Callithrix jacchus: one gene and its partners. The protein of the gene in region 3 interacts with the protein of the main gene of each other region in a biochemical or structural test. Links are inferred from orthologs where the notes say so. Each region holds a gene or a part of one and is shown on either strand. Other genes may lie near its edges.

Region 1 (3,649 bases), on a different chromosome or scaffold from region 3:
GAAGATGCATTAGATATTCTTTTTTATATATTTGGAATATGGAATATAAAAATATAGGTACATTTTAAGGCAAAATGTGTAAAAATAAGGAAGCCAACTTATCACAAGCATTTCAAATATTTCAATCCTGGGCTGAGACCAAGTATGTGAAGCTTTAGTCCAAGGGAATATTTCTTTTTTAAATCACATTCCGAATGAATGAAAACAAGACACAGACAAATGAAAGTAGAGGTAGAGGTTGTGTTAGATGAATGATCTAACAGTATATATGTTAACGAATGCCAAATGCAGGTTTTAATTATCCACCTGTCTCATTCCAAAATACAGAAGAGTTTAAGTCTTCTTAGAGAGTTACTTCAACTGAGAAATCAAGCAAGTCACCAGAGTGAAATCACCTTTGCAAAAATTGTAACTGAGGAAATTATGACAGTGAATGAGATACGATCCAATCAACTCCATCTTGCTTTAGCTTCCAAGCTGTCCTCGTTCCTTCCTGGGCATAGGCCGAACCGACTTTGAGAGGAACTTGGTTTATAGTTTGACTTTGATAGGAAGACAAGAACAGCCCTTTGCCCAAACAAACCCTCTTCTTGCCTGGGAACTAGACCACCTTTGCAAGACTAACAAATTAACTACAAGATTAGAAAAGATGGTTTAAGAATCACTGCTGTAAAACCTGAGGTCAGTGCTTGAGATATTTTAGAGACCCTGTATTTCAGTGCACCAGCTGACACCACCCAGGTCTCATCTGATCTTGTGGCCTGTAACTAGGAACTGACTCAGCTCAAGAGGCCAGGGTCAGCTACCTATGATTTCATCTTTGACCCAACCAATCAGCACTCCCATTTCACTCTCTACCCACAAAATCATCCTTAAAAACCCCATTCCCTCAGTTTTCAGAGACACTGATTTGAGTAATAATAAGATTCCAGTCTCCTGTACAGCTGGCTTTGTGTGAATTGAACTCTTTTTCTATTGCAGTTCTCCTCTCTTGATAAATCCGCTCTGTCTAGTCAGTGGGCAAGGAGAATCCATGTGTGGTTATAAGAACTGATCCCAATTTCAAATACTTATATCTAAGCATTCTTTATTTTCTTGCCTATTTCCCAAAAAGGGATGAGGAGCTTAGGGAGTTAAAAAGTGGTAAAATAGGCCAGGCATGGTGGCTCCTGCCTGTAACCCCAGCACTTTGGGAAGCCAAGGTGGGCGGATCATCTGAGGTCGGGAGTTTGAGACCAGCCTGACCAACATGGAGAAACCCTGTCTCTACTAAAACATACAAAATTAGACTGGCATGGTAGCGCATGCCTCTAACCCCAGCTACTCGGGAGGCTGAGGCAGGAGAATCGCTTGAACCTGGGAGGCGGAGGTTGCAGTGAGCTGAAATCGTACCATTGCACTCCAGCCTAGGCAACAAAAGCGAAACTCTGTCTCAAAAAAAAAAAAAAAAAAAAAATAGTAAAATGTGGGGAGAAAGGCACTATTCCCATTATACCAAGATACATTGCTGGCGAAGCAATACCTTTCGAGGTACAATTTCCAGTAACACAAGCATGCAGTAAGAGGCAGTATTGGCTGTTAGTGTCTTTGATGAGCCGAGTCTTTCCCTGGCTTGCCTATCCATGATGAGACTGACACCTTGGGAAACAGTTCTCGAAGACTGTGAACCCTTCCAGGGTGGGGACAGCAGCTTCAGTGTGCTCTCCGGCCCGGTTAGTTCCTGGTGGAGTAGCCTTCCTAACAAACAGGGAGCCTTGAGCCCAGCCTGAAGTTTTTACTTAGTCACTCCTTGGAATCAGTTATATTTTGAATACTGAAATATTTCCAGTGACTAAGAATTTACTAAGACAAAAGATGCCCCTGTTTGCATGTGGAAAACAGAAGGAGAGAGAACCAGGGGATCTGGGTGAGAGCCCCTGAAGGCGGAGGATCCCAGGGGCTGGCCCTGCACGCAGGGGAGCCGGTAGACAGCGGGTTCACACCGGGGAGGGATGCACCCTCCTTTCTCCGTCTGTGTTTTCTTTCCTTTGCAAATGTTATTTGACAAAAGCAATTATGCTAATTTCCTTCCCTGTGGGCTCAATTCTGTTTTTGACACCGTGACTTAGAGGAGTCATTATGCTTACTCCAAACGGGAAAGACGCCCTCCCGCCCAGCTGTCCACCCGCCGAGCTGGCTTCCGTGCAGAACGCTGAAGAGGCTTCTGGAGTTCTTGGGCGTTAATGATTCTGCCTGCCCACAGGTCGGGTGTTGGGGTCTGGAGCGTTTGGGAAGGTGGTTGAAGGAACAGCCTATGGATTAAGCCGATCCCAGCCGGTCATGAAGGTTGCCGTGAAGATGTTAAAGCGTAAGTGCTCCTTCCTCGGGATGTTATGAACACGGTGATATTAAGGGAATTGCTCAAAATCATACAGCTAGTAAATAAGACATTTAGGACTAGGTCCCGGTTCTTTTGACTCTAGGTTTTATGTGTATTTAGACAATGTTGTCAATTAGATTTATTTAGATTGCTCTTGTTGCCTGTATGTTGGAAAATTAAGAATTGTTGTTTCCAGTGGCTTCTTTTTACCAGAAAGACTAGGAATTAGATATTAGCATTGAGGCCAAGTAGCTATCCGCTTCTTTTAGACTTTTGATTAATAGAATGATATCTAATCACAGGATTAGTCATGTTCTTTTTTTTCAGTCTGAGAATGGGAAGTTGGTAGCCCAGCTGGACTGATGTGTGATTCATTCCTTCAACAGCCACGGCCAGATCCAGTGAAAAACAAGCTCTCATGTCTGAACTGAAGATAATGACTCACCTGGGGCCACACTTGAACATTGTAAACTTGCTGGGAGCCTGTACCAAGTCAGGTGGGCTCTCTGACCTGGAGTGAGGGCTTTCACTGGACACGTGTAGTTGTGAAAACTGTTCAATTCGGGCTTAAATCCTCCACTCTCCATCCCCGAACATGCCAGGAAATAGAAGTCCCTTGAATGGAGCTGACCAGTTCCCTTGAACTGATAGAAGCTCATTGTTTTTGAGCAACATCTGTTGCCAGTCCAGTCATAGCCATTCATGGCTTTTTTTTTTTTTTTTTTTGAGCTGGAATCTCACTCTGTCACCCAGGCTGGAGTGTAGTGCCACGATCTCGGCTCACTGCAACCTCCACCTCCCAGTTCCAGTGATTCTCCTGCCTCAGCCTCCTAAATAGCTGGGACTACGGGCGTGTGCCACTACAAGCGCCTGGGTAATTTTTTGTATTTTTAGTAGAGACTAGAGAAGGGGCTTCACCGTGTTAGCAAGGATGCTCTCAATCTCCTGACCCTGTGATCTGCCCGCCTTGGCCTCCCAAAGTGCTGGGATTACAGGTGTGAACTACCGTGCCTGGCCCATGGCTTTAAAAAAAAAAACTTTTAATGTCTTGTTTTTTTCTGTCCCATATGATCTGCAGGACTATTCCTGGCTTTTCTGTTCTTCATTTTCATACCTGTCTCCTAACGGTTTTTGTCCCCACAGGCCCCATCTACATCATCACAGAGTACTGCTTCTATGGAGATTTGGTAAACTATTTGCATAAGAATAGGGATAGCTTCCTGAGCCACCACCCGGAGAAGGCAAAGAAAGAACTGGATATCTTTGGATTGAACCCTGCTGATGAAAGCA
Region 2 (3,586 bases), on a different chromosome or scaffold from region 3:
CGTGAGCCACTGCGCCCAGCCTTTTTGTTTTTTGAGACGGTGTCTCTGTCGCCCAGGCTGGTGTGCAGTAGTAAAATCTCAGCTCATTGTAACCTCTGCCTCCCATTTCAAGCAATTCTCCTGTCTCAGTCTCCTGAGTAGCCAGGATTACAGGTGTGCACCACCATCCTGCCTAATTTTTGTATTTTGGGTAGAGACAGGGTTTCACCATATTGCCAGGCTGGTCTGTTTTTTTTTTTTGAGATGGAGTTTCACTCTTGTTACCCAGAGTGGAGTGCAATGCCGCGATCTCGGCTCACCGCAACCTCCACCTCCTGGGTTCAGGCAATTCTCCTGCCTCAGCATCCTGAGTAGCTGGGATTACAGGCATGTGCCACCATGCCCAGCTAATTTTTTGTATTTTTAGTAGAGTCGGGGTTTCACCATGTTGACCAGGATGGGCTCAATCTCTTGACCTCGTGATCCACCCACCTCGACCTCCCAAAGTGCTAGGATTACAGGCGTGAGCCACCTCGCCCGGCTGCCCAGGCTGGTCTTGAACTCCTAACCTCAGGTGATCCATCCACCCTGGCCTCCCAAAGTACTGGCATTACAGACATGAGCCACTGTGCTTGGCCCTCACTGCCTTCTTTTTTTCAGGACACTGATTAAACCTCGGAGGTTTCTAATGTCTTCCATACTACTCTCAATCTGATCCTAAAACCCAGCCAGCTACCGACCTTACCTGGCAAGCCTCCCCAAGGTTACCCTGGTTCATGGGCATGTATCCAGATGATGGATTTAAAAGGCTCTGGCTCTAGGATGAAAAAATAAGGACAAGATTAAGATGAAGGGAGAAATCTACATTTACCACGGGGGCTTTTGAGTAGTTAATCTGGGTCTCTATAGGTTGGTGAGGGCTCAAGGTGCAAAGCGTTGGGTAATTAGAAGGTGTCTTACCCCACGTTGCCGAGTAAGTGTTCCAACTGGTAGGCTGAGGACGGAGCCCAGTGTGGTGGTTGTCAGGTTGTCCTCCTCTGCTTCCAAGTCTGGATCTAGGTCTAGTTCTGGCTCCAGCTCTACTTCCTCCAGCTCTTTGTTTGTCAGACCATGGTGCTCTGCCCCAGGGTCTATTCCAGGCCCACTCTCTCTCTATATTGATAGGTGATTGTTAGGGGAAATCCTGGTTCCAACCAACTCCCCCTTTTTAAAATTTCCTTAGCACCTCCTACTCCCTACTCACCTTTATGACCAGATACCGTGGTGGGTCTCGGGCCATCCTGGTGAACTCATTGGCTAATTCTTTAAAGGTTGGGCGAATGTTCTCATCAATCATCCAACCTGGAGGTAAGATGTAGGAGATAAAGACATGAAAGGGAATACAGCCATGGCCAGGTGCAGTGGCTCACACCTGTAATCCCAGCATTTTAGGAGGCCAAGGCGAGTGGATCACCTGAGGTCAGGAGTTTACAGCCTGACTAACATAGTGAAATCCTGAAATTATAAAAATATAAAAAAAATTAGCTAGGTGGTGCACGCTTATAGTCCCTGCTATTTGGGAGGCTGAGAAAGGAGAATCACTTAAACCTAGAAAGCAGAGGTCACAGTGAGCCAAGGCCATGCCACTGCACTCCAGTATGGGTGACAGAGCGAGACTCCATCTCAAAAAAAAAAAAAAAAAAAAAAGGGAATAGAGCCCTAAGAAGAGGAGTACAGAGGGAAGTCAGAAAATAGCTGAGGTCATGCCAGGCATGGTGGCTTATACCTGTAATACCAGCATTTGGAAGGCCGAGGCAGTAGGATCACGAGGTCAGGAGATTGAGACCAGCCTTGCCAACATGGCAAAACCCTGTCTCTAATAAAAATACATAAATTAGCTGGGCACGGTGGCCGGTGCCTGTAATGCCAGCTACACCAGAGGCTAACGCAAGAGAATCACTTGAACCCAGGAGGTGGAGGTTGTAGTGAGCCAAGATTATGCCATTGCACTCCAGCCTGGGTGACAAGAGCTAGACATTGTCTCAAAAAAAAAAAGAAAATGTCTGGGCTTAGCAGGTAACTCACACTTGACCATCACCATGTAGACATCGATTGTGCAGATCTGGGGCTGTGCCAACCGCTCCCCCTTCTCTAGCAGGTCTGGTACTTCAGCCAATCGCAGCCCTGCATAGGGCTCTGCCCCGAAGCTCATCAACTCCCAAACTGTCACACCTGGTGCAAGAAGAAATGTAGTAGTCACTGGCAAAATAGTAGACATGGGCATGAAGTGAAGGGAAGGCAGAACCTGATCTGACACAAAAATCTGAAATGCTTAGAAATTCTAAGATTCTAAGAGGGGGGTCTCAAACGGTAACTTTGAAATTGGGGGCAGTGATGGTAGAGAGAGCTCCAGATGCACTGACCATAGCTCCAGACGTCACTCTGGTGTGTGTATTTCCCAAAGTGGATACTTTCAAGGGCCATCCACTTAATTGGAGTCTGTGGATTCAAGATAGAGATATCACGTTTATTTCCACAAATTTTTTTGAGACAAGCATTTCCAAGTCTCAAGTTCTTTTTTTTTTTTAAAGACTAGTCAAGTGCAGTAGTGAGAAGGGGGGAAAGAGTAGAATAAGGAGTTCGATCTGTAACTGACTGTGAACAATCAGTTGAGATAACTCACTACCTTCGGACTAGCCTTTATTTTTATTTTTTTATTTTTATTTTTGAGATGGAGTTTCGCTGTTGTTACCCAGACTGGAGTGCAATGGCACGATCTCGGCTCACGGCAACCTCCGCCTTCTGGGTTCAAGCAATTCTCCTGTCTCAGCCTCCCAAGTAGCTGGGACTACAGGTGCGCACCACCATGCCCAGCTAATTTTTGTATTTTTAGTAGAGACGGGGTTTCACCTTGTTGACCAGATGGTCTCGATCTCTTGACCTCGTGATCCACCCGCCTCGGCCTCCCAAAGTGCTGGGATTATAGGCATGAGCCACCGCGCCCGGCCTATTTTTTATTTTTTTGAGATGGAGTCTTGCTCTGTCACCCAAGCTGGAGTGCAGTGGCAGTAGTGTGATCTCAGCTCATTGCCACTTCCACCTCCTGGGTTCAAGAGATTTTCCTGCCTCAGCCTCTGGAGTAGCTGGGCACTCCACCATGCCCAGGCACATGCCACCATGCCCAACTAATTTTTGTATTTTTAGTAGAGACAGAGTTTCACCATGTTCATCAGGCTGGTCTCGAACTCCTGACCTCGTAATCCACCCACCTCAGCCTCCCAAAGTGCTGGGATTATAGGTGTGAGCCACCGTTCCCGGCTAAGTCCCAAGTTCTTTTTTTTTTCCTGCTAGGCATCTTTCATGTTACCATGTTGGTTTTTTCCAACCAAATTCTTGATCATTCTTTTCTTTGTTGCTCTCTGAACTAAGATATCTGGCCATCTGCAGCCTCCTCTCTTTGAACTTACCATGAAGCATCTGCTTGCCTCTGGAAGAGACCACTGACTGCTCTCTATCCCCATGCTTCACTCCACCCCCACCACCTTACCCAGCCCTTTGTGTCACCTCACCTTGGCCTCACTGTATAGTAGCTGCTTATCATCAGGAGGCAGCAGGTCAGCCACACCAA
Region 3 (3,554 bases):
AAGAAAGTCACACAAGAACCTGAGCACTATCACTGTTTGATACTATCAGTTCATGTCATCCATGGAACCAGATCTTAAATTGTGTGGTATCATTTTTGTTCCATCCCTGCACAAAATATGATGAAAACAGAGCCTCGGGAAGAGAAGGACCTTTCAACCATGTTCTGGGCACAGAGACTTCAGCTGCCAAGTCATAGAGGCAACCAGAATGGCACCTGGCAATGTTAACTGAATGCATCAGTTTTGAAAGGAGAGGTTTCTGTGGAACTGGAAACGGGCTGTGGTGGTTTCCAGATCACCACCAAAGCTGGCTGGCCAGGAACCCAGGCAGATGTACTCTGTTGGAAGGATGGGCAGGAGAGAAGGTGGCCCCACAATTCCTGTTAGCCCAGAGAAGGTAACAGCTGCTTAACCTGAAAAGTTTCCAGAAACGTCCCACCTGCTTCTATTGCAGAATCATCTGGTGAGTATGTCCCCAGATAACAGGCTTTCCTGAGCCACCAAAAGAGCATACAAGTTAAAGGAAAAAGGACATGAGGATGATTTATTTGGCAGTCAGATCTTAAGAGGGCAGCAGAACTAGCAAATGGCCAACCCTGAGCCCAAATATGGGCAGTAGGTTTGTGTGTGCTGAATGCTGGCTATGCTGAGGCACCTTTGCACCCACGGGCCTGGACCCCAGCCTCTGTCCTCAGAGGTGGGGGCTGCCTTTCTAACCTTCCCATCTCCATCCCTAGATCATTTTGTTTTACCAGTTAGACAGAAGCTGCAATAAGCATGGCAGCTTCATTCAGCACCCAGCTGCCTGTACTACCCTGCCCACCCAAGCGGCAGGCATCTCAATTCCTTTCTTTCCTCAGGGAAAGCATATCAAGTCAGCTTTTCTTTTAAAAAAAAAAAAAAAAAAAAAAAACCTCACCAAAATAGGCTTTGCTATTGCTTCTCTTCCCACCCACCCCCCACCCCATTCTTAACAGTGCCTTAACATCACAAACTGAGCCCTCTTAACACAGCAGGCAGCCCACCTGCCACTCTCCTCTCCAAGGCTCTACTCCAAGGTTTCCCTACAAGGGTGAGGAGCAGGAGGAGTAAATAACTTAGTTACAATACCATTGAGAAGAAAAATAATACTGCTATTTTTAACATGATCCCCTGTATCTTTCAGGCTGGGTCATGTTCCCAGCCATGGGCAATGTGCCCTTGTGCTGTGTCCTCCTCCTCAGGTAGGGCAGAGCCCTTCTCCACACAGACCCCACACTCCTCTGCCCTGGCTCCAGGGCCAAACTGCAGGGGCATCTAGCCTTTCATCCTGCCCAACTGTGGTTTTAAAGCTACAGGACAATGTAAACTTTGTTTCCCTGGCCCAGCAAGGCTCCTCCTCCTCCTCCACTCTTAGGAATGTCAGTGGCTCCTTGGAGCCTCCTGTGCCACTGGCTGAGGTGCCCTCCTTCTCCAAGGGGCTTCGGCTGTGGTCCTGGCCCCACAAGATGGAAGGATCCATCTCCAGAAGTCAGGGCCAGACGTGTGTGCTTAATGCGAGACACAGTACAGTTTTTGCCTTCACTCAGAGCTGGGGCATGGAGGCCCAAAACAGTAATACATCTCATTAATGGCTTGGTTTCTGTCTAGCATTCACTGCTGGAATCCAGGCTTCAGGCTGTGAGACTTGGAAGGCCGCCACAGCAGGCTGCTTCCAAAGAACCCAGTTCACGGCATTCCATGAGGTGCACAGCACCTGCTGCTCTCCAGTGAAGCTGGGGTACAACTAGAGGCGGTTGTCTCCATTGACCCGAGTCCTTCTTGGGGCCCTGGACAGAAGGGAAGAGTGTCAACTGGACAGCCCAAAGCCAGACAGTATTACAACTTTTCTACCCAGTAGAAAGAAACACTGAAGTAGGACCTAGCCACAGCCTTGCTGGCTCTAGCACCCCTCCATCTCCCTCACCTTCGTTCTCGACTGTCAAAATGGTCTGCGAGATGCTCCTGGGAGATGCGGAAGTCCTCAAATGGCTGCTGGTAGCGGGACTCAAAGGAGCCTTCCCGGGCTCGGCCATGAAACAGCTGGCCTGAGGCATCTGAGCCTCGCTCCCGCAGGGATGTACCACTGAAGGGACTGAGGTCACCATTCTCTTGCTTCAATGAAGGCAAGTGCAGAAGAGGGTCAGTGACTTTTCTGCACTTCAGGAGGGTGTTGCCTGTTCTCCTCCCACCCACCTCAGGCCAGCCCACTCCTGCTGCAGATACCTTGGCAGGGAAAATGTCAATCTTGATCAGCAGGGAGGCCAATTCCAGGTCCTCGCTGTAGTTGTTCTTCAAAGGCACTGCTCTGTATCCTAAGAGGAGGAAACCCTGGTCCTCAGCCCAGGAGGGACAGAGCAAGGGGCCCAGCCCCACCCTGGCAGCAAGATCACAGGGGCACTGCCTCCAGGAATGGTCCTCACCTGTCTTCAGGCCTTTTACTGGGAAAGTAGCCTGAGCCAGGAAATTCTGGTCACTAAACATGTCTTCCTCATACACCACGAAACGCAGAAAGGCAAATTCAGGGTTACTGATCTGGAAGTGGAAGGGCTTGGCCGGCCATACAGGGTTGAGTCCATTGTCCACTGTGAAGGCAACAACAAAAGGCTTCAGGTGACCCTTGGAGAGGATGGGATGACTGGTGGAGAGGGCCTTGTGGTGCCCCCAGGAGGAGGAGGAGGATGATGACTGGGAAGACAGACTGACCCACAAACTCTGTCTTCTGCTTGGTGCTGTCATACTCAGCTCCAGCCACCTCAATCTCCACAAAAGGACACACAATGCCTCGGCCATTCTTCGGCAGATGTCGGGCCCCCAGCACCTGCAGGGAGACAAAGGGGCCTAGGATTGTCTTTCCTGCTCCCTCCAATCCCAGATTGCGGAGGCTCAGGCAGACATCTGTGAAGTGGAGGCAGTGCGCCCTCTGCTGGGCCCCCAGGACATTGCCCATGGAGTCCTGCTGCCCGTAGTTTATTTAGTCTTAGCTTGAGCTAAAATTTCCATGTGAGTTTTGCAATCTACTTTATGTTAAATCCATGTCTATTTTAACACAAAAATCTTTTTTTTTTTTTTTTGAGACAGAGTTTCGCTTTTGTTACCCAGGTTGGAGTGCAATGGCGTGATCTCGGCTCACCGCAACCTCCGCCTCCTGGATTCAGGCAATTCTCCTGCCTCAGCATCCTGAGTAGCTGGGATTACAGGCACGCACCACCATGCCCAGCTAATTTTTTGTATTCTTAGTAGAGATGGGGTTTCACCATGTTGACCAGGATGGTCTTGATCTCTTGACCTCGTGATCCACCCGCCTCGGCCTCCAAAAACCTTTTAAATGATTTCCTCTTAGGGAAAAAAAATTTCTTATCAGAACAAGTCACCCCATCAATGGCTCTGCACATGTCCTAGATGTGTATACTGCAAGCTATCTTCACCACTTCAAAGACTCTGCTCAGGCCCCACCCACACTGACCACCTTGATGCCTGAAACTGCCCATTTTTGGGGAACTCAACATAACCTGACTCCATCGGCAAGCAGCCCC

Evidence for each region. The genes of interacting proteins can lie anywhere in the genome.
Region 1: the proteins of PLCG1 (region 3) and PDGFRA form a complex in vitro, tested with the Homo sapiens proteins (2 studies listed by BioGRID, with this or other methods). The link is inferred for Callithrix jacchus from reciprocal best matches to the Homo sapiens genes PLCG1 and PDGFRA.
Region 2: the proteins of PLCG1 (region 3) and ERBB3 form a complex in vitro, tested with the Homo sapiens proteins (2 studies listed by BioGRID and IntAct, with this or other methods). The link is inferred for Callithrix jacchus from reciprocal best matches to the Homo sapiens genes PLCG1 and ERBB3.

The regions. Positions count from the first base shown.
Region 1 is NC_133504.1:142,479,347-142,482,995, reverse strand, and holds part of PDGFRA (platelet-derived growth factor receptor alpha precursor), read left to right. Parts: intron 1-2,242; coding exon 2,243-2,347; intron 2,348-2,745; coding exon 2,746-2,856; intron 2,857-3,502; coding exon 3,503-3,649. UniProt on the Homo sapiens protein: Tyrosine-protein kinase that acts as a cell-surface receptor for PDGFA, PDGFB and PDGFC and plays an essential role in the regulation of embryonic development, cell proliferation, survival and chemotaxis.
Region 2 is NC_133510.1:63,570,691-63,574,276, forward strand, and holds part of ERBB3 (receptor tyrosine-protein kinase erbB-3), read right to left. Parts: coding exon 3,528-3,586; intron 2,458-3,527; coding exon 2,382-2,457; intron 2,191-2,381; coding exon 2,044-2,190; intron 1,321-2,043; coding exon 1,223-1,320; intron 1,132-1,222; coding exon 940-1,131; intron 797-939; coding exon 725-796; intron 1-724. UniProt on the Homo sapiens protein: Tyrosine-protein kinase that plays an essential role as cell surface receptor for neuregulins.
Region 3 is NC_133506.1:36,521,001-36,524,554, reverse strand, and holds the end of PLCG1 (1-phosphatidylinositol 4,5-bisphosphate phosphodiesterase gamma-1), read right to left. Parts: exon of another isoform or gene 3,141-3,554; coding exon of another isoform or gene 3,100-3,140; intron 2,840-3,099; coding exon 2,725-2,839; intron 2,604-2,724; coding exon 2,442-2,603; intron 2,334-2,441; coding exon 2,245-2,333; intron 2,134-2,244; coding exon 1,946-2,133; intron 1,809-1,945; coding exon 1,766-1,808; 3' UTR 518-1,765; downstream 1-517. Other genes in the region: ZHX3 (zinc fingers and homeoboxes protein 3), read left to right, coding at 3,100-3,140. UniProt on the Homo sapiens protein: Mediates the production of the second messenger molecules diacylglycerol (DAG) and inositol 1,4,5-trisphosphate (IP3). Plays an important role in the regulation of intracellular signaling cascades.